2 linked regions of the Pelodiscus sinensis genome follow. The protein of the gene in region 1 interacts with the protein of each later gene in a pairwise test. Links are inferred from orthologs where the notes say so. Each region holds a gene or a part of one and is shown on either strand. Other genes may lie near its edges.

The links.
Region 2: the proteins of MXD4 (region 1) and MAX interact in a two-hybrid assay, tested with the Homo sapiens proteins (2 studies listed by BioGRID). The link is inferred for Pelodiscus sinensis from reciprocal best matches to the Homo sapiens genes MXD4 and MAX.

Annotation. Positions count from the first base shown.
Region 1 is NC_134715.1:117,915,871-117,931,413, forward strand, and holds the start of MXD4 (max dimerization protein 4), read left to right. Parts: upstream 1-9,579; 5' UTR 9,580-9,641; coding exon 9,642-9,783; intron 9,784-9,821; exon of another isoform or gene 9,822-9,935; coding exon of another isoform or gene 9,936-9,998; intron 9,999-10,229; coding exon of another isoform or gene 10,230-10,296; coding exon 10,297-10,396; intron 10,397-15,543. UniProt on the Homo sapiens protein: Transcriptional repressor. Binds with MAX to form a sequence-specific DNA-binding protein complex which recognizes the core sequence 5'-CAC[GA]TG-3'.
Region 2 is NC_134714.1:129,397,122-129,412,321, reverse strand, and holds the start of MAX (protein max), read left to right. Parts: upstream 1-5,272; 5' UTR 5,273-5,425; coding exon 5,426-5,461; intron 5,462-5,540; coding exon 5,541-5,567; intron 5,568-15,200. UniProt on the Homo sapiens protein: Transcription regulator. Forms a sequence-specific DNA-binding protein complex with MYC or MAD which recognizes the core sequence 5'-CAC[GA]TG-3'. The MYC:MAX complex is a transcriptional activator, whereas the MAD:MAX complex is a repressor.

The sequences.
Region 1 (15,543 bases):
ATTATTCCAAGATAACGCTGCTGTGTAAACGTGCCCTTAAAGCGCACAGCATTGTAACTGTGGTTATTTATATTCTTCAGGTTACAAGGGCATTCAAATGCATGTTTACTAAGCCAAATTCACTGCTGGCAAATCAAGCAGGCATAGTTCTATTGACTTCAATGGAGTTGCATCTGTCAAATATTTACACTGGTCATAAATATTCCCCACTGGAGGTAGTAAGAAATGTAAGAGTACACTTTCATTCTCTAGCCACAAATAAATATGTAAATGTATTATAATTTAACAAAACCTGTTAATATATTAAGCGAGTCAGAAAAATGACTGTAAAAATGGCATTGCAAGGTTCCACCTATTTTTTTCCTCTCTCAGTGCAAGTTTACAAGCCAAAAGATGATTGTCCAGATGGCCAGTGCTGAAAACTCCCTGTAAGATCTGCAAATCAAGCTGTGTTCTTTGTCTCTTATTTCCTCATTGGAGGCAAATATTCTGCAGTTTGATGATTGTTGATGTACACGATACAGTAGACTCAAGCTTGCTCTTCCATACCTATACTAACTTTCAGTGTTGACAGTAATAAAAAAGCTTTTCCAGTAAATGCAGAAGAGATGACTCACAGCTACACAGGATGCAAATATAATGAGTAAGAAAATGGTTTTCTGCTTTCTGACTATAATGGTACTTTAAATCTTTTTTTAAGATTGATCAAAACCCCCACTCTCACCTTCCTTTTCTATTAAAATGGAACATTCCACTTGGTAGTGCTGAACTGGATTCACCTCTGGGTTTTTTTATTTGTGCACAGCCTGGCTAAGAATTGTCAGAATCTTTAATTTCAGTAAGGCATATCCCTGACTGCAACAAAGAGCATCCTGGAGAGGAGTAAGCACATTTTATACAAAACAGTTGTTGTAACAGTTGTGTAAGCAACTTACAATCTGTAATATGCCTTAACAAAATTAAAAATAACTAACAAGACCACCTGATCTCAGACATGACCTATTAAGAAATAAGTAATTGCTTCTAATACTTCAGCTGGCTCAAACAGTAGTTATTGCAAAAATATACATACACAATGGGGCTGATTCTCAGCCGCTCTAAGTCCCTGTCTCTTTGCTCTGGCAACGTAAAGGAGCCTGACATTATACTTAGAGGGGACTTTAAAGTGGGTATAAGTGTGATTTAAGTCCCCTTTTCAATGCTGAAGGAGACCATAGAACAACAGAGAATCAGGCCCGATTGCCATAACACAGGTTCCTGTAATAGTATGGCTTAGTAGTTAGAGCATCTGTGAGGGCTCAGGAACCTAGGTTCTAATCCTGACACTACAGTGTGAACCTGGGGCAAGTCTCTGTACCTCAGTTCTATCTGTGGAATGGGGATAATGATACTGGTTTCTCATGTAAAGTGCTTTCAGGTCTACAAAGAAGTAGGCATTGTTCCTAAACCTTCTCTGACAGCAATGAGAGTGATCGGGGCTCTGGTACTTAAATATTTTAAGTACTAATATTTTCAGGTTAAATTTTCAAGTGTAAAATTATCAAAAGCACTTTATAGACATTAATTTAGTCCCACACCAGCCCTGTGCAGTAGGTAATTGTTGTTCCTATTATAGAGAAGGGGAACACAAAGACTAGAGATCTACACATGACTTGAGCAGGCCAAACATCAAGTCAGTGGCAGAGCTACCCAAGTGCATGCAGTAAGCTAGCCTCATACTATCAGATGCACAGCCCACTGAAGGCAGTGGAAAGGTTCACACTGACCTGAATGCGTATTGATTCAGGCGTGTAGGACTAGATCCTGCATCATAAACATTAATGGAAGTTTTTCCATTCATTTAAATAAGAGAACCATAATGAGGATTAGAATTCATGTCTGTGTGTGTGTAAAACTTTTATACAGGGAAAGCTCATCAGGTAAGCTCCCTTTATCAATGGGAGAGAGAGATGCACGCTGGTTGCTCTCCCCCACCATAATTATTTACAGTAGGCCTGATAGTAAACAAGTGTTTAAGTGATTGCAAATGAAGACAGATCAATGTAAGTTACTTAATTTAAACAAATAGAAGATACATAGCTAGTTCTAATACATGAAGAAACTTGTTATATGCAAATTCTTACCTTAAACAGTTTATTTCAGGTATAAGCTTCAAACCAGAGACAAGCTCTTACTGTGACACGCGTAAAAAAAATGACACGCGTAAAAAAAAATAGAGCCAGCAGATTGTAGATTACATGAGATTATTTAAAGCATCTTTGAGTTATGCATATTCATTTTCACAAGCCAAATTTTATAAAACATCAGGGCAGGGAAAGGGCTATTCACATTAACTCCAAGTCCTGCACCTGGCTGACTCACCCTAGAAAGCCCCAGAGGCCTATGGTTTTGAAAGTGGCCGTTAATTTGGGGTTGCCAAACCTGAGACACTTTGGGCCTGATTTCTGAAGGCAGTGAATTGAATAGGAGCTGTGGGTGCTCAGCATCTCTGTATATCAGACCAAGCATGTCTCAATTTTGGCACTTAAAATCAGTCACCACTGTTGTTTTCCTTAACCTCTCTGTGTCTTAGTTTTACAGATGAGCAAACCAACGTAGTAACTTGTACCGTAAGTAACATGTGAAATTAAATGTCAGATATCTGACCACATACAGGGAGAAAATTGTCCTTCCATCCCTGTAGGCAGACTCCTTTTCCTGTGTGGAGAGAGACCTGTATTCTTTATTGGAGAATTACAATACCTTAACAATACCTCAAACCAAAAACCCCAGAGGGACTGCCCCAAAGTCACAGCAAAGCTCAGGTATTGACATGGGGAAATGCCAGGGAAAGAAAACAAAAATAGATAAATAGCATCTAGCTACAACGAGACACATCCTGAAACTACGGCAAAGGACAGAGTACAAAAGGATGCAGGTAGTGAACTATGAATAAAAGTGTTCCAGAGTTAGAAACCTTACCTCTACAGTCCTTGAAAGGTTTTAACTCAGGATTGTAAGTAGTACCAACCATACTCTTTCAAATGCTGTATCAGGACATAAGGCAAATAAAGATCCCTTCAGAATGGGGCTATGTTATTTAAGACTTTAAATACTACCAATAAGACTATGAATCATACTGGATAGAAAAGAGGCAGCCAGAGCTACTTTCTGCTTCTACATAAAAAGTCGCTTAAATTTTGCCCTAAACGATAGCTCCATCACTATAGACCAGCTGCTTCTTAAGCCCTTGTCATTCCTGTTGCCAGTGCATAGAACAGAAGTTGAAGATGGAAAAGCAGTATGTAAGGGCCCCAATATAGGAAAGGTTTTAAGTACATGTTTCTTTTTCTGTATATGACTAAGTCATTGGGTCTGATTCTTCTGAGATGTATATCAATTTTATGCCTGTGCATCTCCACTACTTGAGTGGAGCTACAACAAGGGAAGCATCACACCTATAACATTTATATTATTGTCTTGCATCTTACAAAAATATAAATGTGGTGAAAGGTTTATCAGTATTCATGTGGGAGGACCTGAACATTCATGACTGCACTGATCATGAGTAACATGTGGTTGCCAAAATGATTCTGATGAAATCTTTAGTCCACACAAAATCAACATGACTTCCATGTGTACATGCACACCCATGCTCATAACTTGCTTAAGCAAAATCATGTATTCTGCATTTCCTAGGATAGTATGTGTAAAAAATATTTAGGAATCCCCTTTATATGCTAAATGCAGTTGATAAAGGTAATTTAGCCATGTATAGAAATCATCTGCTTTTTGTCATTGTGGTGGCATATGTGCTCCTCATCACAGGTGGGAGCCTCTTCCTGAGTGGGATGCTACCTGATTGGCCACAAGGTAGCTAGCCATTTCTACAGTTCACGAAATAATCAGTCTCCAGGGAACCCCGAGCCCACACATGACCTTGTCCCCCAGATCGTGTCACCTAATGGCCTAAGTCAGTAAGAAGCCCTCTAGTCCAGGGAACATGGCACACTGGCTAGGGTTGATAATGTTGGGGCTAACATCCTGGTAGGGGAACCTGGGTCCACCCTACTCCACCAGGTCTCGACCCAGGGTCCTGTGAGCAGCAGCACTGCCTACCACTCCCCCGGCAGGGAATCTGGCAGAAACACACCAAGGCTGTGTCTATACTGCACCCCTTTTCCGGAAAAGGGATGCAGATTAGACACATCTGAATAGCAAAATCCACGGGGGATTTAAATATCCCCCGCGGCATTTGCATTTACATGGCTGCCGCTTTTTTCCGGCTTGGGGATAAGCCGGAGAAAAGCGCCAGTCTAGACGTGATTCTCCGGAAAATAAGCCCTTTTCCAGAGGATCTCTTATTCCTACTTTCAAGCCGGAAAAAAGCGGCAGCCATGTAAATGCAAATGCCGCGGGGGATATTTAAAGGGTAAATTTGGAGTAACGGGCCCTGGGGAGGAAGAACATAAAACAATGCTCAATTATCTTAAAACAACTAACTTCAGCAAGAACCTGATTCTGTGGCAGCCCCATGAGTTCAACGGCAGAAGTATCCGTGTGGCTCAGGCTATGAGTGGTAAGTCTTTGAGCAATTCTATGTCCCCACCAATCAATGGACCATATTTGCTGCAGCATGGTATTAGTGGAGTCATTTACACCTGTTCAAAGCTGGTGTAAAATGCTACCAAATCAGAATTATAGGGCAGCCTGACTGCTTCTCATGTTGTCACCACTTACACCTATATAGAATGGTGGTCAAATGCGGTATCTCCATTTCAGTAGCATTTTATAGTTATTTTACACTGGTGGTATATCTGGTGACACAGTATACACCAACTAAAGAACTGGGCCTACTGTCTTTGCATATTTAGCATAAATGAATCCTGGAAAGAGATTTAACATCTCAGTTTATCTGAATGGCTTTTTTTAAAAAAATAAAAATAAAAACAGGCAGCTTATAATTTATTTGCCATCTCTTTTTTGTTGCACTGATAAGCCTCAAGACAGTTAAGACCAAAGCAGATTGTGAAGAGATTCAAAAAGTTCTCAACAAACTAAGTGATTGGGCAACAAAATAGCAAATGAAATTTAATGTTGAGAAATGTAAAGTAATGCACAATGGAAAAATAACCCCAACTACACATACAATATGATGGGGACTATTTTAGCTAGAACTACTCAAGGGAGAGATCTTGGCGTCATTGTGGATAAATCTCTGAAAACATCCACTCAGTGTGCAGTGCAGTCCAAAAAGCAAACAGAATGTTAGGAATCATTAAAAAAGGGATAGAGAATAAAACAGAATATTTTATTGCCTCTATATAAAATCATGGTACACCCACATCATGAATACTGCACAGATGTGGTCACCTCATCTCAAAAAAGATATATTGGCATTGGAAAAGGTTCAGCAAAGGGCAACAAAAATGATTAGGGGTTTGAAGTAAGGATGTTAAGTAATGGTTAATTTACTAGTCAATAGGCACTTCTGCATTCCTCCTTTGAAATGTACAAGAGCCCCTACTGGGAACTCCGCATGCACCCCGGGCCAGTGGGAAGTCCCGCTGCCTCTGGGCTGCATGCGGGTTCCAGCTTTGAAATGTACAAAGAGCACAGGCTCTTGTATGTTTCAAAAGAGGAATGCAGAAGTGGACAGCACTTCACCACTGAGCTGGGGATCAGCTGTGCTGGCACTGCCCCTTTGAAAGCCGCCTCGGCATTTCAAAGGGGCAGCACTGCACAGCTGATCCCCGGCTTAGCTGTGCGACACTGTTCCTTTCAAATGCCGAGGCAGTGTTTCAAAGGGACAGTGCTACACTGCTGAGCAGGGGATCAGCTGTGCAGCACTGCCCCTTCGAACACCACCTCAGTGTTTCAAAGCAGCAGTGCCACACAGCTGATCCTGGGCTCAGCTATGTGGCGCTGCCACTTTGAAGTACCACCTCTTTCCCCCTCTTTGCTGCCTCCAGCTGATAGAGGCAGCTGGGGAGGGGGAGGAAATCAACTAGTAGACTAGTCCTTAACATCCCTAGTTTAGAGTGGTCCCATATGAAGAGGGATTAAAAAGACTTGGATTTTTCAGTTTAGAAAAGAGGAGACTAAGGGAGGATATGATAGAGGTCTATAAAATCTTGACTGGTGTGGAAAATATGAATAAGGAAAAGTTATTTACTTGTATCCAGAATATAAGAACTAGGAATCACTAAATGAAATTAATAAGCAGCAGGTTTAAAACAAACAAAAGGAGGTTTTTCTTCACCCAGCACACAGTCAACCTGTGGAACTCCTTGCCAGAGGATGTGGTGAAGGCTAGGACTTTAACAGGGTTCAAAAAAGAGCTAGATAGATTCATGGAGGTTAGGTCCATCAATGGCTATAAGCCAGTATGGGGAGGAATGGTGTCCCTAGTCTCTGTTTGTCTGGAAATGGATGACAGAGGAGGGATCACTTGATGATTACCTGTTATGTTCCCTCCCTCTGGGCAGGGGCGGATATACGGCAGGGCGAACGGGGCGGCCGCCCCGGGCCCCGCACTTCAGAAAGCCCCGCGCATGCGCCGTGGCACCGCTGCGCATGCGCATGGCGTCACTGCGCATGCACCGTGGCAAAGGGGGGGCCCCGTGGAAGTATGCTGCCCGGGGCCCCGCAAAACCGTCATCTGCCCCTGCCTCTGGGAGTGGCATTGGCCACTCTTGGCAGACAGAATACTGGGCTACATGAACCAATATGGCCGTTCTATGTTTTTATGTTCTCTTTTGCCGTAAGGTAAACAAGACGGGCCATGTCTACCACCTTTTCTTACACTAAATAGTTCTTAATCATTCATATAGTTTTACTGAAGTCAATAGACTACTCATATAAATACTTTTCAACAAATGCAGAATTTGGCCTTGTTTGACTGAAGAAGTGATGAAATCAAATCATGGTCTGTTTTAAAAAAATTGTTTATATGTCCTGCTTTTGTTAAAGTGAATGAATTCTGCACTAAGAGCTATATAGACAGGCCCCTGCACCTGAGAAAAGCCATTTCTCCATATGGAGTCCAGCTGATTTATGGGATTCTGCATGAGCCAACATCTTTCCCAGGATACCTTGCAGCACAAAATTGTGCCTACAGAGATCTCAGTGCAGCATCAGAGCCTACCTGAAGATAAGGGAAGGAAAGTACCACTAACTTAATGTTTATTAATGTACTTTTCCCCCTTTGTGCTCCTTCACGTTAGCTAACAAGTTATGTGATGTACCATATTCAGATCCACAAATGGACAGAAACAATAGGTAATGAGGCCCTAGTCTATCCATGACAGGTTACTTTTCAGATGCATGTTCCTTAATTCCTTCAAAAAAGAATTAGACTGAAAAAAATCTGCAATATTTAAATCTAAAATGAAAATTATCTGTTTTTCTATACATCCTAAAATGCTTTTGGCCGAGGAAGAACTTTTGATATAGGCAGGCTATTCTCTAAGGCTATGTCTACATTGTACGCTTATTTTGAAATAACTCATGTTATTTTGAAATAACAGAGTGTGCGTCTAAACAGCGAGCCTGTTATTTTGAAATAATTTGAAATAATTTAAAAATAACAGGCTTCTTACTCCGACTTCTGTAACTCTCATTTTATGAGGAGTAAGGGAAGTCAAAAGAAAGTGTTCTTCCCTCGACTTCCTGCTGTGTAGACAGTGCCAAAAATCGAGTTAAGGTACTTCGACTTCACTTATGCAATTAACGTAGCTGAAGTTGCGTATCTTAACTTGACTTTGGACCCTAACTGCCTACTGCAGGGTTTCTTGCACCTTCCTCTGAAGCAGCTGGTACTGGCTTCTGTCAGAGACAAATTGCACCAACCAGATCACTGGTATTCTATCTTCCTCAAAGGATGGGGGGAGGGAAGGAGTACTTCTGTAGTCAGCCTGCCAAAGAAAGTGTGTTAAAACCGTCTAACCCACCCCTAGCCTTTGCAGGGAGATGGCAGAAAGGCCATTTGCCTCCTGTGTACTGGAGGCCTGTCTGGTTGCAGTGCATAAAATATACATTATGCCTAAACCATGCACTGTTAAGAAAATGCCTACTGTCATCCTAAGCAGAAGCAGGATGGAGCATCAGTTGCGTAAATAAATTGCAAACTCATGTTTCCCCGTAAACTGCTCCACAGTACTGGTTTCTTTTTTTGGTAAACTAGATAAGTACAAAATGCTACAAGCACAGTATAAAGCATCCTGGGTGGTTAGAATGCATGTACTCTTGCTACTGCTCAGCTTTTACTTGCTACAGGATGTTTTTACTTTCCATTTAGCAACACCCCTATGACAGCAACAGCCATCCAGTCATGGGCTGGCTACAGATGTGTATTTTATATAATGGTAAAACAGTTCTCAAAATATATTTGCTTATTATGTGCATATCAATTATTATTTACTGCTGTATCTGTTATTAAATCTGAAAAGCCCATTGGGATGAAAGATGCTATAAAATAGTTTATAACCTGAAGAGTTTGGACAAAGTATAACCAACAGAACAAAGCCTATTTGATTTATTGGAGTAAGCATCCACTCTGAAAAACAGTGGGTTGTTTTCACATGTGGATGCCACTAAAAGGCTTTCAACTTTGAAATTGGGACTCTGTGGACTCATAAATTCAGATTTCATCAGGATTGGTTCAGATCTTTCTGGAGCACAGAGATGGGTGGGTTTTTGGGGTGAGACTTTTAAAACAGTTCTGTGTCTTCTGTGAGAACACTTAAATCAAATCCAGAATATCTGAAGTTGGTCACCCAAAAATCAAAGCACCAAACTGGAACAGTTTTGGCTTGAAGAGCCTATGGTCCTTTATTGTAAGAGCAGGAAATTTACCCTGGTAAGGTAAAAGCAAAACCTCCTTTGCCAGATGCATTTGCCTTACTTGCTGCAGCCCTTCCACCCAGAGGTGGCTGCATTTGGTGCTGCTATACTACATAGTTTAGGTACTTTATCATCTTTTGTCAGGCAAAGTTATCTCTATATAACATTCCCTGCATGGTGGATTCATTTTCTTTTTTAGGTCATGCATCTGATTACAGCTAGGGAAGGAAAGAAAGGGACCGTAGAGCTTCTATTCGAGCACTCTAGTGTTTATCCCCAGTCCCTAACTGAACTGCAGCCCGATCTTCTCTTCCTCACAGCAACACAATAAATCCACCAGCAGTACGGGTAGATGGACCCCTCCTCCTTCACTTTCCTGAGCGCCTCCCCTTTCACTTGCTTGAAACAGGACACACCTCTCCAAAACTGTTGGCTAGTTTCAGCTGCTTATTTGCATAGACTCCTCATCTCCAATCAGCAATTGCTGCCTATTTAATATGCATAAAGCCGGCCACTCAGTAGGCTGGGGGCCGGGCCACCACGTGCTGTTGCTAAGCTTCGGCTTCTAAATTGTTACTGTAGTGGCTGGCCTATCAGGGAGAAGATTCAGATCTGTCAACATTCTGTTTCCAAACCTGAGGGAGCTTGTTTTTCCTGATTGGTTCTACTTTGGAGCTAAAGCCCGCCTCTTTTTAGACATGCCGTCCATGATTGGCTATGTCAATCGCCTGTCGCCTGTGTGTCAAATGTAGGTTGAGAGAGGTGGTTTATATAGGGGACTTGGAAGTCCCCAGCCTGTGAACTCAGTGCAGTTTCTGATGCTTATTGCCTTCCTCAGCTGTTTGAAAGGCAGACAATCAGATACAGAGTTTGATAACTCAAAGAACACATATAAAATGGAGCTGAACTCTCTGTTAATTCTTCTGGAAGCAGCTGAGTATTTGGAAAGAAGAGACAGAGGTATTCAGAAAAAATGACTAGCAGGCACTTATAACATTTAACTCTCTTTGTTGCGTGGGTATTCGGACGCCCTTTTCTCCGAGTCCACATTTCCTTCACCTGCACAAGTGCCCTATGTTTTTGTTAGATGCACTGCAGAGGGGGCAGAACAAATGCAGTTTTCTTGCAATTTTTTTAAACAAACAAGCTATGGCTCGAATCGGTTTGGATTGTATGTATGTTGAAGTTTTCATATATGTTACATTGTTGTGTGTTGCCGTTTGCGATTGTATTGCAGTTTTCCCCTTTCCCTTGTCAAAATGTTTCAAGATTTGCATGATCTAGCCATGTTTTACTGTTTACTTAGATGATCCTCCTATTTTGGCACTTTTCGTTTTGTTGTGTTTCTTTTAAAAATCCGGAATAAAAGCTAAACAAATCAACCAACATTTTGTTTTTTACCCTAGCGTTCCTGCAAAGGAGGAAAAAATGCATGGAAAAATATATTGCCACTAATGCTGACTTTGTCCCTAGAAGCAGAACATGGCTATGCATCAGTGTTACCCTTCGATAGTGACTATTCCAGAAAGAAAACAAAGGCAGGCACCCTGGCCAGAAAATCCCAGAATAACAGGTAAAAGCTGTACCATCGTTTTCTACAGTGAATTAGCAACTTTTCCTATATGTGTAAGTTTATGTGCAGCTCATAGATGTATACAAATAATAACTAATCCTGTCGCTTAGTTCCCAGTAGTCGCCATTTTTCCCCTGTATGGGCTTGGCTCTGTTTTGATCTCTCATATAAACACTGCCACGCGTACACCATCGCCTTAGCACTCACTGCCTTTCTGAACCATCTGCACTCACGCGTCTTCGCCTGGTTTGTTTATGAATGTGCGCTGTTTTCCCATGCATTTTAAAATAATAATCAAAATCCTGACTTCCCTTGCATGACACTAATTCCCTCCCAGGACTTATTTACAATCTCTTTATTGCTGCGAGAGCAAATACAGCCTCCAGTTGCAGTGTAACGCCGGGATCTTGATGAGGGGAGAGTGGGGGGAAAGGGATGAAAACGTGGCTCCAATTATACTGGGACTTTTGTATGCATTTTAAAATGTTTCGAATGAACTTGACCTCTGCGGACGGTCTGAGGCATTTTTGCCCTGGTCAGTGCAGCAGCTGCCTGAGCGAGTCGCTCCGCATGCAGCATTATTACAATGCATAGTTACATTATGATCAGCTGCTTTTTGTTTGTTTGTTTGTTTCTTGCAGCCACTACCTGTGCTGTGATCACCATTAGCTCAAGGTTTCTGCGCAGCCTCCCTGCAGCTTTGTTTGGCTGACCAGGCAGTGCTCAGAGTGCAACTGTCTACGTGCAGAAGGCTGTCTTAAAGAGACAGCGCCTCCTCTTTACGTGGGAATTCCTTCTTTTCTTGCACTTTATGTTCTTGAGGGGGGAGGAGACCAGATGGTTCCCTCCTTCTGCAGACCATTGGTGCTCTCTGCTCTTAACAAAATGACTCCTTAAAAAAATTGTTGTTGAATATGATGAGCCCTGCAGAATAGCCTAAAACAAACAAAACTTGCATATGACATTTTTCAAATGAAAGGAAAGTTGGCAAAATTCTTTGATCTCACTTACTCCAGCGTAAATGCTGCAGAACCCCAGTGTAGTCAGTGAGATTGCTCTGGATTTACACTGGTGAAATGGGAAAGTAGAAATCGGCCCAGTCATGGATATTAAAGTTTGAAGATATGAACTAAGCAAAAAGCAAACAGCTTGCTCAGAAAAATACAAGATCACAATGAGCTGTGTTTGCAGTAACCACTGCAGGGAAATGTGCTTGAACACGATTGAGGGGAATAGAAGGTGTAAATCCTTCCCCTGGCCATCCCTGACTCCAAATAGCGATGAATGCTGATATTTCTGGGAATATACATTCAGGAGTGGGGGGAAGTAATAGTAAAATTGGTTACAAAGATACAATATCAGTTGATTTTTAAATGTGAATTACCAGGAATCACAGAGGTGCCTAGATTTTGAGACACTGTTCATCTATATACATGTTACCTCTGAATTTTTTGATAAAGTAACCATATTGTGCAAAAGCAGTTATTTAAACAGGATTCTAGGGTTTCAATTCTAATTCTAGAGTTTGTGGATTTGCTCCAATCCTTGTTTCTTGTACGGAAGAGAGAGAAATCTGTATTACTTGGGGAACCTTCATTCCATCATTTCCTTTCTTGGGTTTCTTGCTGTCCACAGCAAAACAGTTCTTTGAATTTTTAGCAGAGGATATATAATCTATCAATTTCAGCAGAATTAAAAGATTCCTTGTTAGAGGTTTGACGGGCTTATCAAAGCCAGAGCACACATCATTACTGACGGATTGTCTGATATTTCTCCTAATATTTTTTTCACTCTAATGCTTGCCACGCACACACAAACGCTTTTAAAAAAATGCATAATGATCTTTTTATTGTTTTATTACCAGCTTTATTTGTTACAGACTAAAAAGGGCTCATTCATAGTGTGTGTGGGATAGGGCAATACCTCTGGAGAAGTAGGTTCAGCCGTGGCTAAGGCCACAAATTCAGTCTCCATGTTTAGTTCACCGTGGATATTTGTCCACATCCTAAAGAAAACAGCAATCTCTATAGACAGTCTCTATAACACAGACCGACCCATGGCTGGAAATAGCAGGTTGTTGCGATACGGGGTTGAGGTGCATTGGCAGAGGTGTTTGAGCAGTCCTACATTGTGCTTGCCTACAACATGCCTGTTTTTATCTGTTACTTAAGCTCGTAGGTTCAGATGCAGCTTTATTTCAAATGTATGATCCCAAATTCAAATAGTACCACCTCTCTTATTCATTTTGGGAGCATAGGCGCTGGTGCTAGGGGTGCTCAGAGTCTGCTGAACCTCTTGGCTTGAAGTGGTTTCCATTAGATACAGGGTTTACAGTTTGGTTCAATGACTTGTAGCACTATCCAAATTGTTCCAGCACCCTTGTTTGGGAGCAAATGTCAGGTTATTCGGTTGTCAGGTCACAGCCTCAGAGTGCATAGAATTTGAATGTATTGTTCAATTTGATCATGCAATCAAATCTTTATAAGCAGTTCAAGGGATTAAGAAGGGGCTAGACAACTGGCCAGATTTCGGACGATCCTGAGTGGAAAAGAATAAAATTAACTAGTCAGGCAACCCTTTTTTGGCTGGTTTATTTTAATCACTTTACAGAATCTCAATGCATGGATAGGTGCAGGCATGATTGGGTGTGAATATCTGGAGGGCCATCTCTTTGTGCTCTGGAGTTGTTTTTTTAAAAGGTGGGGGGAGGGCGACTGCATATTGCAAAATTGCAGAATGTTATTTTTTCAGTAACTTGGTTATTTCTAAATCCTATTTCTTCTAGAAGTCTCAGCAGGTTTGAAAATTAACCTTTGCCTATATCATTTGAGCACAAATAAAACACATAAACAATTGTTTTTAAAGCTTGAAAAGCATCTCTTTCATGCAAGGATAACTCCAAAGTGGGTCACAGAATTGTATTGAATTTAAAAAATTAAATTAGCCTCTGGACTGAGAACAAGCATGAGAAATTTCAATTCAAATCTCTCCTCATACTTAAAAAAAAAATAACAGGCAATTGGACACAGGTTCATATAGGGAAAAAAATGTTTCTTCAGCCACAGCTGTGACTATTAACAAAAGTCAGCTCACTGAAAGAGTTCATATTTTGTATATTTTTGTTTGTTGATGTTTTTGTTTAAAATATCACTCGGTGAGTTTTAATTTTATGTTGCTATAGAAAACATTTTCATGTTACTGTGAAGACAGCAGAAAATGTTGCTTGATGACATTTTTGCCCCATCTCTGTATAAGAAATATTAGTTTTTAATAGATTGATGTATACATTTCCTTATGATGTCCAGTCCGTTGCCCTTGAATCAGGCTATATTTATATGTTCCCACTTTATACAAAACAGACTTGAAAGGGTTTTTTAAGAAAAACTTCTTTGTGTCTATGGCATTCTCTCCTAAGGTTCAGAAGTGTTTCCCCCAGATGCTTATTATGAAAATTCCTTAGTAGATTAAACTGGATTTTTGGTTTCCAGTCTGAATGGATGATTCGAAAAAGGTGCAAGTTTGTAATTGATTTTTTCTGGGGGAGGGAAGATAAACCCATGTCAGCGTCTCTTGTAATGGTGATAACTAGACATTATTTGGCCATTGTGTAGTAAATGTCTCCTTTGGATAGAGTAATAATAGTAGTTCCTAAAAGCAATACAGTGGAGCTTGTTAAAATTATTGCTAATACACAATTGGAATAAAATCAGGCTAGAAAAAATTCAGTTAGTAGAGTTGTGCCTTGGAGGTTGCAATGTTAAATTTTCAAATGTCTTTCCATGTAGTACAGTGAGTATAATAAAATGGATGTATTACAGATGTCTGCAGTTTGTTAAGAGGGAATATTTCACAGAAGCAGAAAGTCAAAGAAGTTCAGAAGATTACTTGGTTGCAGAAAGTCATTTGTAAATAGGAATTCACTGTAGCTTGCAGATAATTGGAGCTTTCTTGTTTTGTTTCCTGTTTGTGATGCCGACTTAACAGAGATAAGCCTATGCATTTTTGTGTTTATATAAGGGGGAAAACCGGTAGCCTGAACTGACCCCCTTGTGGACAGTGGCCCACAGCACAGTACAGTTAGACAAGCCTGATTCTCCATTGCCTGGTACTTTGTGCAGTCTCTTATCACTGAACAGTGGGTGTAAAACACTATAATTTATCTTCGCATGAGTGTAAAAGACCACAAAGCAGCAGACGATCAGGCCCAGTGTGTGTTCTGGCCAATGAAAAGATAAGAAGTAAGTAAATATGCAGAATAAAACCTTAGTGCTCGATCCCTGACTATTGGGGCACAGTTAGATTTACTGGCAGAGCAGGAAACTGGAAGTCTGTGAAGTAGCCTGCTTGGCCTATTAATTTAGAAGCCGATGAAAAAGAGGGGAAAATGAAAGCAAAACTTAGATTTATAAATATCCCCACTGCCTTGATTGAAACTAATCAGTATTTATATTTGATATTTTATATCAATGGATATAGTTGTGAACAATGTACTGTGCTCTGGTGAAGGATATATGTGCAAAAGGATGTGGTGGGTCAAAACTGCACGTTTCAAATGAAAATATTGTTTAATGTCTCCATTGCTTGTCTGTCACTGCAAACCAGTCTGATTTCTGTCTGACACTGCTCTTTGCAGACTAGAAGTGTGTGAATTGTTCAGCTAAAATTCTTTCAGCCAAAAAATGCAGATTTGGGTCAAATGAAACCTTTTGTGAATTTGTATTGACTTTGTGGTGAATTGTTTGGTTGCATTGGAAAAAAAGGGGGAAAAACCCTTCAGAAATGTCAAAAGCAATCGTTTTGACATTTCTGAAGTGTCTCATTTTGATTTTTTCAGGCGAGGTTCATACACCAGAAATAGTGATGGTGTCCCTCTTATAACCATTAGCTTAGTACATAGGGAAGTAACCTGGGATGACTGTAGAGTCCTACTGTCTCTGGCCAATGGCTATTAAAGTACAGATTGTACCTCTAAAATCTGGGATTCTCTGGTCCGGCAACATCCATGGTCCGGCACGCTTCAGGGGAGTGAAGACCCGGAAGCTGGTGGCTCATTTGGGCTGCAAGGTGAGAGCCAGGAGCCGGCCTGCAGCTCAGTTGGGCTGCTGGAGTTGGCGTGCAGCTCAGCGGGGCTGTGGAGGAGTGCCAGG
Region 2 (15,200 bases), on another chromosome or scaffold:
AATAGCCCAACTTCCTCCCAGAGCCTGTACCCCAGTGCCTTGCCCTAGCCCAGAGCCTGCACCCAGCACCCAAATTCTCACCCAGAGCCTTAGGCAAGTGGGGGGAGGGAGTTTGAGTGGGGAAGGGGGTGCGGGCTCTGGCTATTTTGGGCACCAACAGATTGAAGACTGGGTATTAGCGTCTGCTACCAAATCACTCTTGAGGACTAGCACGATCAGCTCCTTACACACCTATCAATAATTGTAGGAAAAAAGGTTGCATGATCATACACTGGAAATCTCATGCTGCCAGTACTAAAACATCCTTGAAATGTCTAAATAATATAGATAACAGTTTCCTAACTCACCAATTGTTGCATCCAACACAGGCCCCTCTACATTATATGTTGTCTTGACAGACACCAGAGGAACTGACAAAAATTAAAATGAATGATAACTTAGGATCGTGACCTGTGAACAGAATAAAGTCCATACCATATATATATATACAGGGCTCGACAATTAGGGCAGGACAATTTTAGCTTGGTGCGGCTGCGTAGCACGGTCAGCACATGCGCAGCGCGGTCTGCACATGCGTAGCGTGCGATTCCACATAGCTGGTGAGTAGGGCTCGCTGCCGCTTGGCGAGCCCTGTGTGTGTGTGTATATATATATATATATATATATATATATATATACACACACACACATTAGTTTCCTTAAAAGGGCCAGTTTCACAAACCTGAAAACAATTATAAGTGAAATCAGCTGGGAGGAAGATTTTAATCAGAAAAACATGAATGATAATTGTATGACAACATTTTACTAGATGCCCCAAAAGCCAAAATTAAGGAAGAAAACCACATTATTTAAAAATGACCTGATTTAGAAAGGAAATGAAGGCAACTATAAAAATGGTATATAACAGATGGAAGAAAAAAAGTGGATAGTAATGACTACAATCAGAAACTAGGAATTGTAGAAAATGGATAAGGGAAGCCAAGGGACACAAAGAGACCTTTATGGGCGAGAGTTCGGGACAAAAAAAGAAGGAGATTTTAAAAGTACATTAGGAACAAAAAGAATCCTAACAATGGTATTGGTCCATTACTAGATGGAAATGGTAGAATCTTATAAATATTTTAGAAAGTGTTTGTTTGTTTGTCCCAAAACATCTCAGAAACGGTAAGAGCTAGAAATACAACATTTTGCATGGATACTACTGATTTCCTAACTTAAATAACAGGATTGGTTATATTCCGAAATCCTCGTGGAATGAGGAGTAACGGTAGTTCGGACTAGGAAGCCTAGTCCGAACTACCTAGTTCATGCCGCGTGTAGCCGCGCTGCACGGGGTTCAAACGAGCAGGGATTTAAAAATGGCGGCGCCCAGTTTATGCAAATGAAGCCCGGGAAATTCAAATCCCGGGCTTCATTTGCAAGTGCAGTATGCCTACATTACCCCGCTAGTTCGAACTAGCGGGGTAGTGTAGACATACCCTAAGAGAAAAGTATTTCCAATCAAATATGCTATAATTGACGTAGTTCAATGAATTAGTGAACTGGCAAGATTTAGACGGAGCCTGAATCCGTAGAGAGGCCAATATAATTGACGTAGTTCATTCATCACACCTTTTACTATATTTTCCCCGGGCGACATCGGGTATTACTGTTAGTTATAAATAAACTTGCACAAAAGGCAAGTGTTCAATAAATATTTCTTATTGTATTTGGAGGGAAAAAGATGGTGTAGTCATGCTATATATTTTTTGGGGGAGAGAAACAAACTTGGCAAATGTGTTTCATGATGACAGTTGGTTAATAAAGTTGTCCTCTCTCACTGACATTTTCTCAATTTTAACCAAACTGAATGTGACTATACAAGGAGGAGGCAATTATTTATTTTGAAACTGGGAGCAGATACACACATTCCAAAAGACATTAGCACTGGGGCAAACACACCTGAAAAACAATCACCCAAGCTATGACATGTTCCCAGCTCTGTTACGACACACAGAGGAAAACAGCATCAGTGAAGAAAAAGCGAATGAAATGGAAAGTGTCACATCGTGACATCTCACTGTTCTGACAATTTTTGTCACCTGTTTCCCAGCAGAAGGGTTTGAAAATTGAAATGAAACGCGTTGGGTGAAAGATCCTTCTGCTTTTGGAAATCCTGGCTCAGTAACGGAGCTAAATGTGATTCCTGATCAAGAAAAAGTTGCTGCAATGCACCTGTGATCACACACTCAGAATATGCCACCAGACGTTGAAATGTGTCATCATTTTGGATAAGTGTTTTCAAAGACTATCCACTGTTACGTAAGATTAGTGTTCTGTTGTGGTCATGATTCATAACAGCCTACCCATGCACGCTGGGATTTTCAACTTTGACAAGGTTAAAAACAAAAGGAAGAAACTGACTCAACAGCTCACCTGAGGTGCATCTTTTGAGCCAGACTGGGCCAAGATCCTGATCAATAGGTAGGTCCACCCAGCACGTTATGTAAGTGAAAAGCCACTTTCCTGCATTTCTCCTGTATTTAAAAATGTTTTACAAGTAGTGTCACTGTCTACTTCTAAAGCTTCAGAGGGGGAGCCAAGTTAGTCTGTAAATGGAAAGACTTAAACAACAACAAAGAATCTGGCAGCACCTGAAAGACTAACAAAACATGTAGATGAGATCCTGAGCTTTCGTGGGCACAACTTCATCTGAAGAAGTGGGTTGTGCCCACGAAAGCTCATGATCCAATCTACATGTTTTGTTAGTCTTTCAGGTGCTGCAGGACTATTTTGTTGTTTTTTAAGTTTGTCTAATTCTATTGGAACTTGAAGTGATGAGGTTTAAGCTAGCATGTCTTGCTCTTTGTTGTGATTTGATGATATTATTGTTTGGGTTGTGGGAATAAGTATTTTGCTTCCACTGTATCTCTCTCTCTCTCTCTCTCTCTCACTCACTCTCTCACACACACACACACACTCTCTCTCTCTCTCTCTCTCTCACACACACACACACACACACACACACACACACACACACACACACACACACACACACACACACACACACACACACACACGACAGGGTTATTGGCAGAGGGTTGCCAGATACTTTCACAAAAAATACCAAACATGGCAGGAAAAAAAATAAAAACCACACAACCTCCCCCCGCCCAGTCACTGCACCTTTAAATCCCCACACTCCCCTGCCCCCACCAAATGCGGCAGGGGAGGAATGTCCCAAGCAGCCTTCCATCCAAGAAAAACAGAAAATACCGGACATTTTACATGTGCAGTATTTTCTGTTTTTTTTTTTATCAGACAGAGGCCACAAATACAGGACTGTCTGGGCCAATCCCAGACAACGTGGCAACCCTACGTTTGAAATCCAGTGCACAGCATGGAGGAGTTTGCTCAGCCTCAGTCCTTGAGTCTCCACAGGCTTCCTTGAGTGAGCCTCCCCTACTTCATTTGTGCCTCTCTCATACTTTCCCTCTCCTCCAGTCCTGCTGCTGGGTCCCAGCACTGGCTGTGAATTTGAGGGATGCTCCCGCTTCCATACTTCAAAACAAATGAAGGGGCCTTGAATTCACCATTCAGAGGAGGGCTCCACCCAGCTCCTCTCAAAGGACTCCTCCACAGCTGACCCAGTGCAAATAGATTTGCTGTCCTTATTTGTGTCCTGCCATCAGACCCACCCACAGCACTGCAGTCCTAAATACTAAAGTCACCCACACACTACTGTCCCGCCTGCCTTACGAGCTACCCCTTTTTATCCAAACCAGCACCTGGGCCCATCTTTCCGACACCTTCACATGGAGATCCAGGGATCAACGTGGCCCAAACTGAGCGCCTGACGTCCCCCCAAGCCAACTTCTCTTTTCTCTTTCACTGTGGACACTGCCCCGACAGTCCGGGCTTGGCCTCTCTACGGATTCAGGCTCCGTCTAAATCTTGCTAGTTCACTAATTCATAGATTCCAAGGTTGTGATAATCAATTGTGTCTTCCTGCCTAAAAGGGGAGAAAACTGCCCCCAAATAAATCCTGGGCAGGATCCCCCCCCAGTTCAGTCTTTGGGGACACTGGGCAGAGCCACCCCAGTGTGGGCATTGTGGGGTCTGAAGTCAGGGGCCACTATTCGGGGCATGTCTTTAGTGGGGGGAGAGGCCTTGGCCATTGTCCATCCACGTGGGTTGTGTGAGGGCCCTCCTTATGAAGTTGGTGGGGTCTATGCCCTCTAGGTGCAGAGAGCCTTGGCCACGGCCCTCCCCTCATGTAGATACTGTGCCCCCTAGGTGTGGTAGGGGCCTCTGCTGAGGGTGCAGGCTCTGGGTGTGACGGGATGAGAGGCTCGGGATGCAGGAAGAGGCTCAGGACTTGGACAGAGGATTGTGGTATGGCGGGGGAGTGAGGGTCGTGGGCTCTGGGAAGGAGTTTGGGTACAGGAGGAGACTCCGGGCTGGGATATGGGAGGTAGTCGGGGGTATTTGGACCTGGCAGCATCTGCTGCAGCTCCTAGGAAGTAGCACTCGAAAGTGCTGTCCCTGCAGCTTCCAGTGGTCATGGCTCCTAGCCAATGGGAGCTGCAGAGCCAGCACTCCACACGCTGCCCCCCCACCCACTAGTGACAGCTCCGCAGCTCCCATTGGCCAGGAACTGTTGCCAAGTGACAGCTGTGCCGCTCCCATTGGCCGGGAACTGGGACCACTGGGAGCTGCAGAGGCTGTGGACCGCACCTTCCCGTGCCTAGGAGCCGCAGGGGTCTGGGAGCTGGGTGGAGCCAAGGGGGCTGGGCCCCCTCCCTGCTACCCACCCGACTTGTAACCGCCCAGGTGGCTGGGCCTTTCCGCCGGGCGCTCCAGCCAAAAACCAGCTGCCTGGCCAGGCCACCCGACCCCTGGTGGGCAGGCGCCTGGGAGACCCCCATTGCTGTGCAGGGTGGGGGGGGCTGGGGCACCCAGCGAGGGCTCCGCGCCCCCTAGGTAGGGCAGCAGCCCTGAGCACCGCCCCTCCCCCCCCCGGGAGGTGCTGAGCAGGGTGGGGAGCCGCGCAGTCCCCGCCTCCCATCCACGTGTCCTCTTCCCCGCCGAGTCCCTTCCTCCTCGCCCGAGACTACAACTCCCGGCGTGCGCCGCGCCGCCGCCTCTGCGCCGGCGCCGGGGGCTGCGGGGCCGCGCGCGGGGCCCGCCGGGGGCTGTAGTGCGCGGCGCCGGCCTCCCGCTCGGCGGCCGCGGCGCGGCGGACTCCAACCCCCAGCAGGCCCCGCGGCGGGAGGCGGCGCTGGCGGTCACGTGGCCGGGAGAGAGGGGGGGGCGGCGCACGGTGGAGCAGGCAGCGGCGGCGGCGGCGCGGCTGGGGCTGCGGGAGGCGGCTGCGCGGTGCGGGCTGTTGTTGTGGCGCCCCGCCCGGCTCGGCTCGGCTCGGCGCGCCCGGAGGCCCGGCAGCATGAGCGACAACGATGACATCGAGGTGGAGAGCGACGTGAGTGGCGCCCCTGCCCCCCCCGGCCCGCCGGCCGCCCGCCAGTAACGCGAGTGTCTCTGTCTCTCTCTTATTGCAGGACGAGCAGCCGAGGTTTCAGTCTGCGGTACGTGCTGCCTTCGCGCCCCGCCCGGCCCGCGAGCGCCAGCGCCGGGGGGGCAGGCCGAGTGCGCCGCGGGCGGGCCGGGGAGCGGACCCAGCTGGCGCTGGGCTCATGTGATCCCGGGCGGACGGGGGTGAGCGGCCGGGGCTGGCGTCCAGGCAGGGAGATGAGTAGGGGGGTCCGGGACCCAGCAGAGCCGGTATCAGGCGATGTGTAGGGGGGTCCGGGACCCAGGAGAGCCGGTATCAGGCGATGTGTAGGGGGGTCCGGGACCCAGGCGAGCCGGTATCAGGCGATGTGCAGGGGGGTCCGGGACCCAGGAGAGCCGGTATCAGGCGATGTGCAGGGGGGTCCGGGACCCAGGCGAGCCGGTATCAGGCGATGTGCAGGGGGGTCCGGGACCCAGGAGAGCCGGTATCAGGCGATGTGCAGGGGGGTCCGGGACCCAGGAGAGCCGGTATCAGGCGATGTGCAGGGGGGTCCGGGACCCAGGAGAGCCGGTATCAGGCGATGTGTAGGGGGGTCCGGGACCCAGGAGAGCCGGTATCAGGCGATGTGCAGGGGGGTCCGGGACCCAGGAGAGCCGGTATCAGGCGATGTGCAGGGGGGTCCGGGACCCAGCAGAGCCGGTATCAGGCGATGTGCAGGGGGATCCGGGACCCAGGAGAGCCGGTATCAGGCGATGTGTAGGGGGGTCCGGGACCCAGGCGAGCCGGTATCAGGCGATGTGTAGGGGGGTCCGGGACCCAGCAGAGCCGGTATCAGGCGATGTGTAGGGGGGTCCGGGACCCAGGAGAGCCGGTATCAGGCGATGTGTAGGGGGGTCCGGGACCCAGGCGAGCCGGTATCAGGCGATGTGCAGGGGGGTCCGGGACCCAGGAGAGCCGGTATCAGGCGATGTGCAGGGGGGTCCGGGACCCAGGCGAGCCGGTATCAGGCGATGTGCAGGGGGGTCCGGGACCCAGGAGAGCCGGTATCAGGCGATGTGCAGGGGGGTCCGGGACCCAGGAGAGCCGGTATCAGGCGATGTGCAGGGGGGTCCGGGACCCAGGAGAGCCGGTATCAGGCGATGTGTAGGGGGGTCCGGGACCCAGGAGAGCCGGTATCAGGCGATGTGCAGGGGGGTCCGGGACCCAGGAGAGCCGGTATCAGGCGATGTGCAGGGGGGTCCGGGACCCAGCAGAGCCGGTATCAGGCGATGTGCAGGGGGATCCGGGACCCAGGAGAGCCGGTATCAGGCGATGTGTAGGGGGGTCCGGGACCCAGGCGAGCCGGTATCAGGCGATGTGCAGGGGGGTCCGGGACCCATGAGAGCCGGTATCAGGCGATGTGTAGGGGGGTCCGGGACCCAGGAGAGCCGGTATCAGGCGATGTGCAGGGGGATCCGGGACCCAGGAGAGCCGGTATCAGGCGATGTGCAGGGGGGTCCGGGACCCATGAGAGCCGGTATCAGGCGATGTGTAGGGGGGTCCGGGACCCAGGCGAGCCGGTATCAGGCGATGTGCAGGGGGATCCGGGACCCAGGAGAGCCGGTATCAGGCGATGTGCAGGGGGGTCCGGGACCCAGGCGAGCCGGTATCAGGCGATGTGCAGGGGGGTCCGGGACCCATGAGAGCCGGTATCAGGCGATGTGCAGGGGGGTCCGGGACCCAGGAGAGCCGGTATCAGGCGATGTGTAGGGGGGTCCGGGACCCAGGAGAGCCGGTATCAGGCGATGTGTAGGGGGGTCCGGGACCCAGGAGAGCCGGTATCAGGCGATGTGCAGGGGGGTCCGGGACCCAGGAGAGCCGGTATCAGGCGATGTGTAGGGGGATCCGGGACCCAGGAGAGCCGGTATCAGGCGATGTGCAGGGGGGTCCGGGACCCAGGAGAGCCGGTATCAGGCGATGTGCAGGGGGGTCCGGGACCCAGGAGAGCCGGTATCAGGCGATGTGCAGGGGGGTCCGGGACCCAGGAGAGCCGGTATCAGGCGATGTGCAGGGGGGTCCGGGACCCAGGAGAGCCGGTATCAGGCGATGTGCAGGGGGATCCGGGACCCAGGAGAGCCGGTATCAGGCGATGTGTAGGGGGGTCCGGGACCCAGGCGAGCCGGTATCAGGCGATGTGTAGGGGGATCCGGGACCCATGAGAGCCGGTATCAGGCGATGGGTAGGGGGGTCCGGGACCCAGGAGAGCCGGTATCAGGCGATGTGTAGGGGGATCCGGGACCCAGGCGAGCCGGTATCAGGCGATGTGTAGGGGGATCCGGGACCCAGGAGAGCCGGTATCAGGCGATGTGCAGGGGGGTCCGGGACCCAGGAGAGCCGGTATCAGGCGATGTGTAGGGGGATCCGGGACCCAGGCGAGCCGGTATCAGGCGATGTGTAGGGGGGTCCGGGACCCAGGAGAGCCGGTATCAGGCGATGTGCAGGGGGATCCGGGACCCAGGAGAGCCAGTATCAGGCGATGTGCAGGGGGATCCGGGACCCAGGCGAGCCGGTATCAGGCGATGTGTAGGGGGGTCCGGGACCCAGGAGAGCCGGTATCAGGCGATGTGTAGGGGGATCCGGGACCCAGGAGAGCCGGTATCAGGCGATGTGTAGGGTGGTCCGGGACCCAGGAGAGCCGGTATCAGGCGATGTGTAGGGGGGTCCGGGACCCAGGAGAGCCGGTATCAGGCGATGTGCAGGGGGGTCCGGGACCCAGGAGAGCCGGTATCAGGCGATGTGCAGGGGGGTCCGGGACCCAGGAGAGCCGGTATCAGGCGATGTGCAGGGGGGTCCGGGACCCAGGAGAGCCGGTATCAGGCGATGTGTAGGGGGATCTGGGATCCAGGGCGAGCCGGTATCAGGCGATGTGTAGGGGGGTCCGGGATCCAGGCGAGCCGGTATCAGGCGATGCAGGCAGGGAGATGTGTAGGGGGATCCGGGACCCAGGCGAGCCGGTATCAGGCGATGCAGGCAGGGAGATGTGTAGGGGGATCCGGGACCCAGGAGAGCCGGTATCAGGCGATGCAGGCAGGGAGATGTGTAGGGGGATCCGGGACCCAGGCGAGCCGGTATCAGGCGATGCAGGAAGGGAGATGTGTAGGGGGATCCGGGACCCAGGAGAGCCGGTATCAGGCGATGCAGGCAGGGAGATGTGTAGGGGGATCCGGGACCCAGGCGAGCTGGTATCAGGCGATGCAGGCAGGGAGATGTGTAGGGGGATCCGGGATCCAGGGCGAGCTGGTATCAGGCGATGCAGGCAGGGAGATGTGTAGGGAGATCTGGGATCCAGGGCGAGTTGGTATCAGGCGATGCAGGAAGGGAGATGTGTAGGGGGATCCGGGATCCAGGGCGAGCTGGTATCAGGCGATGCAGGCAGGGAGATGTGTAGGGAGATCTGGGATCCAGGGCGAGTTGGTATCAGGCGATGCAGGAAGGGAGATGTGTAGGGGGATCCGGGACCCAGGCGAGCCGGTATCAGGCGATGCAGGCAGGGAGATGTGTAGGGGGATCCGGGACCCAGGAGAGCCGGTATCAGGCGATGCAGGCAGGGAGATGTGTAGGGGGGTCCGGGACCCAGGAGAGCCGGTATCAGGCGATGCAGGCAGGGAGATGTGTAGGCGGATCCGGGACCCAGGAGAGCCGGTATCAGGCGATGCAGGCAGGGAGATGTGTAGAGGGGATCTGGGATCCAGGAGAGCCGGTATCAGGCGATGTGTAGGGGGATCTGGGACCCAGGGCGAGCCGGTATCAGGCGATGCAGGCAGGGAGATGTGTAGGGAGATCTGGGATCCAGGGCGAGTTGGTATCAGGCGATGCAGGAAGGGAGATGTGTAGGGGGATCCGGGATCCAGGGCGAGCTGGTATCAGGCGATGCAGGCAGGGAGATGTGTAGGGAGATCTGGGATCCAGGGCGAGTTGGTATCAGGCGATGCAGGCAGGGAGATGTGTAGGGGGATCCAGGACCCAGGAGAGCCGGTATCAGGCGATGCAGGCAGGGAGATGTGTAGGGGGATCCGGGATCCAGGGCGAGCTGGTATCAGGCGATGCAGGCAGGGAGATGTGTAGGGGGATCCGGGATCCAGGGCGAGCTGGTATCAGGCGATGCAGGCAGGGAGATGTGTAGGGAGATCTGGGATCCAGGGCGAGTTGGTATCAGGCGATGCAGGAAGGGAGATGTGTAGGGGGATCCGGGATCCAGGGCGAGCTGGTATCAGGCGATGCAGGCAGGGAGATGTGTAGGGAGATCTGGGATCCAGGGCGAGTTGGTATCAGGCGATGCAGGAAGGGAGATGTGTAGGGGGATCCGGGATCCAGGGCGAGCTGGTATCAGGCGATGCAGGCAGGGAGATGTGTAGGGAGATCTGGGATCCAGGGCGAGTTGGTATCAGGCGATGCAGGCAGGGAGATGTGTAGGGAGATCTGGGATCCAGGGTGAGCCGGTATCAGGTGATGCAGGCAGGGAGATGTGTAGGGGGATCCGGGATCCAGGGCGAGCTGGTATCAGGCGATGCAGGCAGGGAGATGTGTAGGGAGATCTGGGATCCAGGGTGAGCCGGTATCAGGTGATGCAGGCAGGGAGATGTGTAGGGGGATCCGGGATCCAGGGCGAGCCAGTATCAGGCGATGCAGGAAGGGAGATGTGTAGGGGGATCTGGGATCCAGGGCGAGCCGGTATCAGGCGATGTGTAGGGGGATCTGGGACCCAGGAGAGCCGGTATCAGGCGATGTGTAGGGGGGATCTGGGATCCCGGGTGAGCCGGTATCAGGCGATGTGTAGGGGGGATCTGGGATCCAGGAGAGCCAGTATCAGGCGATGCAGGCAGGGAGATGTGTAGGGGGATCTGGGATCCAGGGCGAGCCGGTATCAGGCAATGCAGGAAGGGAGATGTGTAGGGGGATCTAGGATCCAGGGCGAGCCAGTATCAGGCGATGTGTAGGGGGGATCTGGGATCCAAGGCGAGCCAGTATCAGGCGATGCAGGAAGGGAGATGTGTAGGGGGATCTAGGATCCAGGGCGAGTCAGTATCAGGCGATGTGTAGGGGGGATCTGGGATCCAGGGCGAGTCAGTATCAGGCGATGTGTAGGGGGATCTTGGATCCAGGGCAAGTCCGTATCAGGCGATGTGTAGGGGGGATCTGGGATCCAGGGCGAGCCGGTATCAGGCGATGTGTAGGGGGGATCTGGGATTCAGGGCGAGCCGGTATCAGGCGATGCAGGCAGGGAGATGTGTAGGGGGATCCGGGATCCAGGGCGAGCCGGTATCAGGTGATGCAGGAAGGGAGATGTGTAGGGGGATCTGCGATCCAGGGCGAGTTGGTATCAGGCAATGCAGCAGGGAGATGTGTAGGGGGGGATCTGCGTTCCAGGGCGAGCTGGTATCAGGTGTTGCAGGCAGGGAGATGTGTAGGGGGGATCTGGGATCCCGGGTGAGCCAGTATCAGGCGATGCAGGCAGGGAGATGTGTAGGGGGGATCTGGGATCCAGGGCGAGCTAAGCTGGGGTGATGCAGGCAGGGAAGTGTGTAGGGGGGATCAGGGGCTGGGGTCCAGGCCATGGGAGGACCTGTGAGGCTCGTGTGTTATAGGTATGGAGTGGGATTCGGAAGGGGCACGTGAGGTAGGATGGGACTGTAGGTCAGGCATGGTGGGATTGGGAAGGGGGGTTTTCTAGATCCGGGAGATGTGGGGTGGTGACAGGCGGGGGAGGTGGAAAAGCGCATCTGTAGCAGACACAGGTGAAGTGGGGATTCAAGATATTGTGGGAAGGAGGGTTTAGGCCCAGTGTGTTTGGGTTGGTGGTGTGTGAGATTGGGGCAGGCAGAGGAGACTTTCTGGGGGGAGAAAGTGTGAGAGATCCAGGGGATAAGTGGGGGTTTGTGGAGAGGACTGTTAGCCTGCTGTGCTAGGTTGGGGGGGTGAACAGAGGGGGATGTAAGCTGGGTGTGCATGAAGGAGGATTTGGAGGGGAATCTGACCCCACCCCTACTGTACACACTCATTCCAAAGTGTGTAGGGAATCTACACTGTGTATGTGGAAGAGATCTTGGCTAGACATAGCCGTGATAGAAGAGGGGATCTAGGCTGGGCTTGTGGGCAGGGGGAGTGAGGGATCTAGGCCAGCCAGGCATGCGGGAGGGGGATCTAGGCCAGCTGAAGGTGCTTGTGGTATGTGGGGGCTGGCTGAGTGTGTACACGTGGGGCGGGTCTCGGCTGGACATGTGTGGGGGAAATTGGGGAGGATCTAGGCTGGGCACGTGGAGAGGTTCTAGCTTGGGCATGTGCAGGATCTAGACCAGGGTGTGAGGAATTGGAGGGGGGCCCTAGTCTGGATGTGTGGGGAGGATTGTGCTGCAAGCCCTGTGTGCGGGGCTCGGCCCTGCCTGGGGGCGACTGGGCAGCGCAGGTTGGCTGCGGAGGAGTGACGGGGGGTCTCGCACACCAGGAGCTGTGTGGGTTTGGGGGAGAGACCCCTTTCTCTGGGGAGAGTAGCATGGAGTGTGCAGGAATTACTGGGCTGAGATCTTCTGGGACAGTAAATATGAATGGGTGACGCTGGCTCTGTCTTGGGGGCCTGGCTGGCTTTTTGATAAATGCATTTAGCTGGGCTGGTTTTTGGCCTCCCGAGCTGCGTTGCTGTCTGAGGTGTCCCTGGTCGGGTTTTCTGTGGGGTCTAGTCTGTAAATCCTGCTCTGCAAGAAGCAGCTCGTGGGACTTAGCTCGGCTTGCCAGGTTGTAGATCGCTGGGCCTTGTGGCTACCCGTCCGATTCCTTGGCTCGCCTTGAGTGTCGTTGTCTGCCTAGACGGTTAGATAGTTTGAGATCCCCTATTGATGCTTATCCCTGTACCAGGCCTTGCCTAGGCCTGTGAGATTGTAATAAATCGCTTGCTCCTTGAATCCTTTGGGGAATGGTGCAGGTTGGCCAAACACGTCTACCCTGTGTAAAAAGACCGTCCTCGGCTGCTCTTCGAATAGGTCTGGGCTGTTTCTGTTCACCCCTGGATGATCGAATTGAATCTTGCTGGCTGGCTTGAAATTGTGTGTGCTCTCCTCTCCAGGAGGCCTACGTCTAGGCAAGTCCTAGCTGTGTGATCGGCTTGGAAGGCCCTTGCCGATAGATATGGTTTCGTAAATACTCTCCCCCTGGCTGTGTGAACGACTCACACAAGCAGCAGGAACAGTGAAAGTGGCTACGTACACGCAGCTGTCAGGTACTGGAAGAAAAGAAACTGAAAGTCCTGGACACTTTTTCAAACCTTTCGGTTTCCGTGATCTTGGGTGTTTCTGGTAAGAACCGTAAGTAAACATGGCTCAGACGGAAGTGGTGGCTGCTTTTTTTTAAGAATCAGGAAGGATTTCAGGTCTCCGCCAGAGGGTGGCAGTGGAGAGGAAGCGACTACTTGAAGCCACGAATTTGCGTGGCCATGTTTATGAATCGCTCGGAATTGCAGTGAAAATGTCTCTTGTTGCAAATCTTCCTCCGCGGCGGTTGAACCCTAAACCCGTTGGCCTCCTGCTAGTGGGGGAGAAGCAGGCCGTGAAATGCTCTGTTTGCACTGCCCAGCTGGACTGAAATGCCCCCAGTAAATTAGCTTTCACCGCTTGGAGCGAGTTGGAGCGTCTACAAAACTCGGTGCTTGCTCCAGACAACTTGCTGAGAGTGGCTGGTGTGGGAAGTGCGGGGTGGCTGCTTTATTTATTTATTTATTTTTTAAGACAAAGGCTTCCTTAGAGAAGTCTTGGGAGCCAATGACTTTGGAAGTCCCTTTGTCTTCCCTTTGCCAGGTGGTGGAAAAGCCCCCCGTGAGCATTGGCTTGGGTTGTTGGCCTGGAGAAGAGCGATCCCCCCGCCGAGCGGTGCGTGGTTCCTTCCGCTCCCTTGCGAATTGATCTGTGTGTGGAACGTGCACCTTGCCCAGAGGGGGGGATGGGGCGCCGTGATACCCCGAGATTCAAGCTGCCGGAAAAGAGCTGCCTTGGTCAGCATTGATGGCCTAGCGCACGTGCCCCCCGATGCACCGTGCCGAGGGGCGCAGTCGCCGAGAGATGGTCCCTTGAAAGCACCCGCGCGGTTTGGGGGGGACCATTTCAAGGGAGATTTTTAAAAGCCGCCTTGTGGCAGCTGCCCCTCCTGGGATCAGGCCCTGGCTTGCCCTGCTCCGATTGGGGCAGGGTGTCTCCTGGCTGCCTCTGGTGGGTTTGCAGAGCAGCCGTGTCCGGGGCGCCGAGCGGGCAGCAGGAGAGCTCTCGGTGCGTGTTCCTCTGGAGCTGGGGCGTGGGCACTAGCGGCTCGTCGCACGTAGTCCAGATTGCTGCCTGCGTGTTCGGCCCGGCGCTGGCCCGTGGGAGACCTGGAAGGGGGCAGCTTTGTGCCTATCCCCCATGTGTCATTAGATGACCTGACGCGGGGTTAGGGTTCAGCTGCTTCCTAGGTAGGCCGGCCCCCCCCGCCTGGGCTGTGTTGGGCCGTGCCTTCTGCTGCTGGTGGGGGCGATGGGAGCGCTCCATCTGTCCCAATGCGGGGGGGTGGAGAGACCAGGTGGGCAGTGCACAGACTCCACGGAGGGGCGCGTTGCAAGGGACGGCTCGTCCGGTGACCGCGACTCTTAAAGGCCAAGCAGAGCCCAGGCCAGCCAGCCTCACGTCTGAGCCAGGGTTTGGCTGGTGGGTGCCAGGCACTGGGGTTGGGAGGTTTCCTTCCTCTCTGGCTGTGCCCGGCTGGCAGCCCCTGCAAGGCAGCGCGGGGCTGGCTGAAGCGGAGCCCCTCCACAGCGCTAACGAGCCTCACGTGGCCACAGGCCGTGCCGGCCCATGAATGAGGCACTGTTGTCACGCAGGCCTCGCTTGGCACCGGGCACGGCTTAAGCCACGGGCGCTGTCGGGGGGGGCCAGGCAACCCCTCCAGAGCGGGGCATGGGAGGGCCCAGGGCTGTCGCCTTTGCTCCTGGCTGGCTTAGGGCTCGCTGCTCCCTGGCTGGGGGCTGCTGTCTGCTAGGCCGTCCCGTGTCTCGTTGCTGCAGGTGGCAGCCCTTGTGCTCTGGGTCTGCGCCCGTCAGCCCTGGCCCTGCCTGCGTTGTCAAGCCAGCTCGCAGGGCGGCCGGGAACGGCGCCAGGTGGAAAACCAAAGCCTCTGCTGAATGTCAATGGCCGTATTCTTCTCCTGCCGTTTGCTCTGGGGGCTGCTCGGCCGCTGGGCCTGAGTGCGCGGCAGCCACTGCTGGCGGCTTTGTGCCTGCTGAGCTCCCCTGGCGCTGCCTTCGAAAGGCCCCGCCGGGAAGGGGGCAGCCCTGGCTCCCAGGACAGGTGCGTCCGGCCGGGCCGTGCTCTCTTGGGGACGGCCCGGGGCTCTGGTCGGGCTGGGGAGCAGCACCCAGAGCAACTGCCCCTTTGGCTGGAGCCAGGGTGGGGAGGGCTGAACTGGGCAGGTGTCCGGCAAGGGGGGGAATCCAGGGCGACTACATTTGGCCTGTCGTGGGCAGCTACTGCTTGCCCGCCCCAGAGCGGCTTGGGGGAAGGGATCTGTGTACCGATAGGGCCGCCGGGGGGCAGCACTTGGAGCCCATGCAGAGCCGGCTCTGGCGACAGTCGAGGGACCTTTTGGGGTGGGCCCTGCTAAGGCAGAAGGGGGTAGCCGGGAACAGAGAGGGCGGCTTCCATTCCTGACGGGC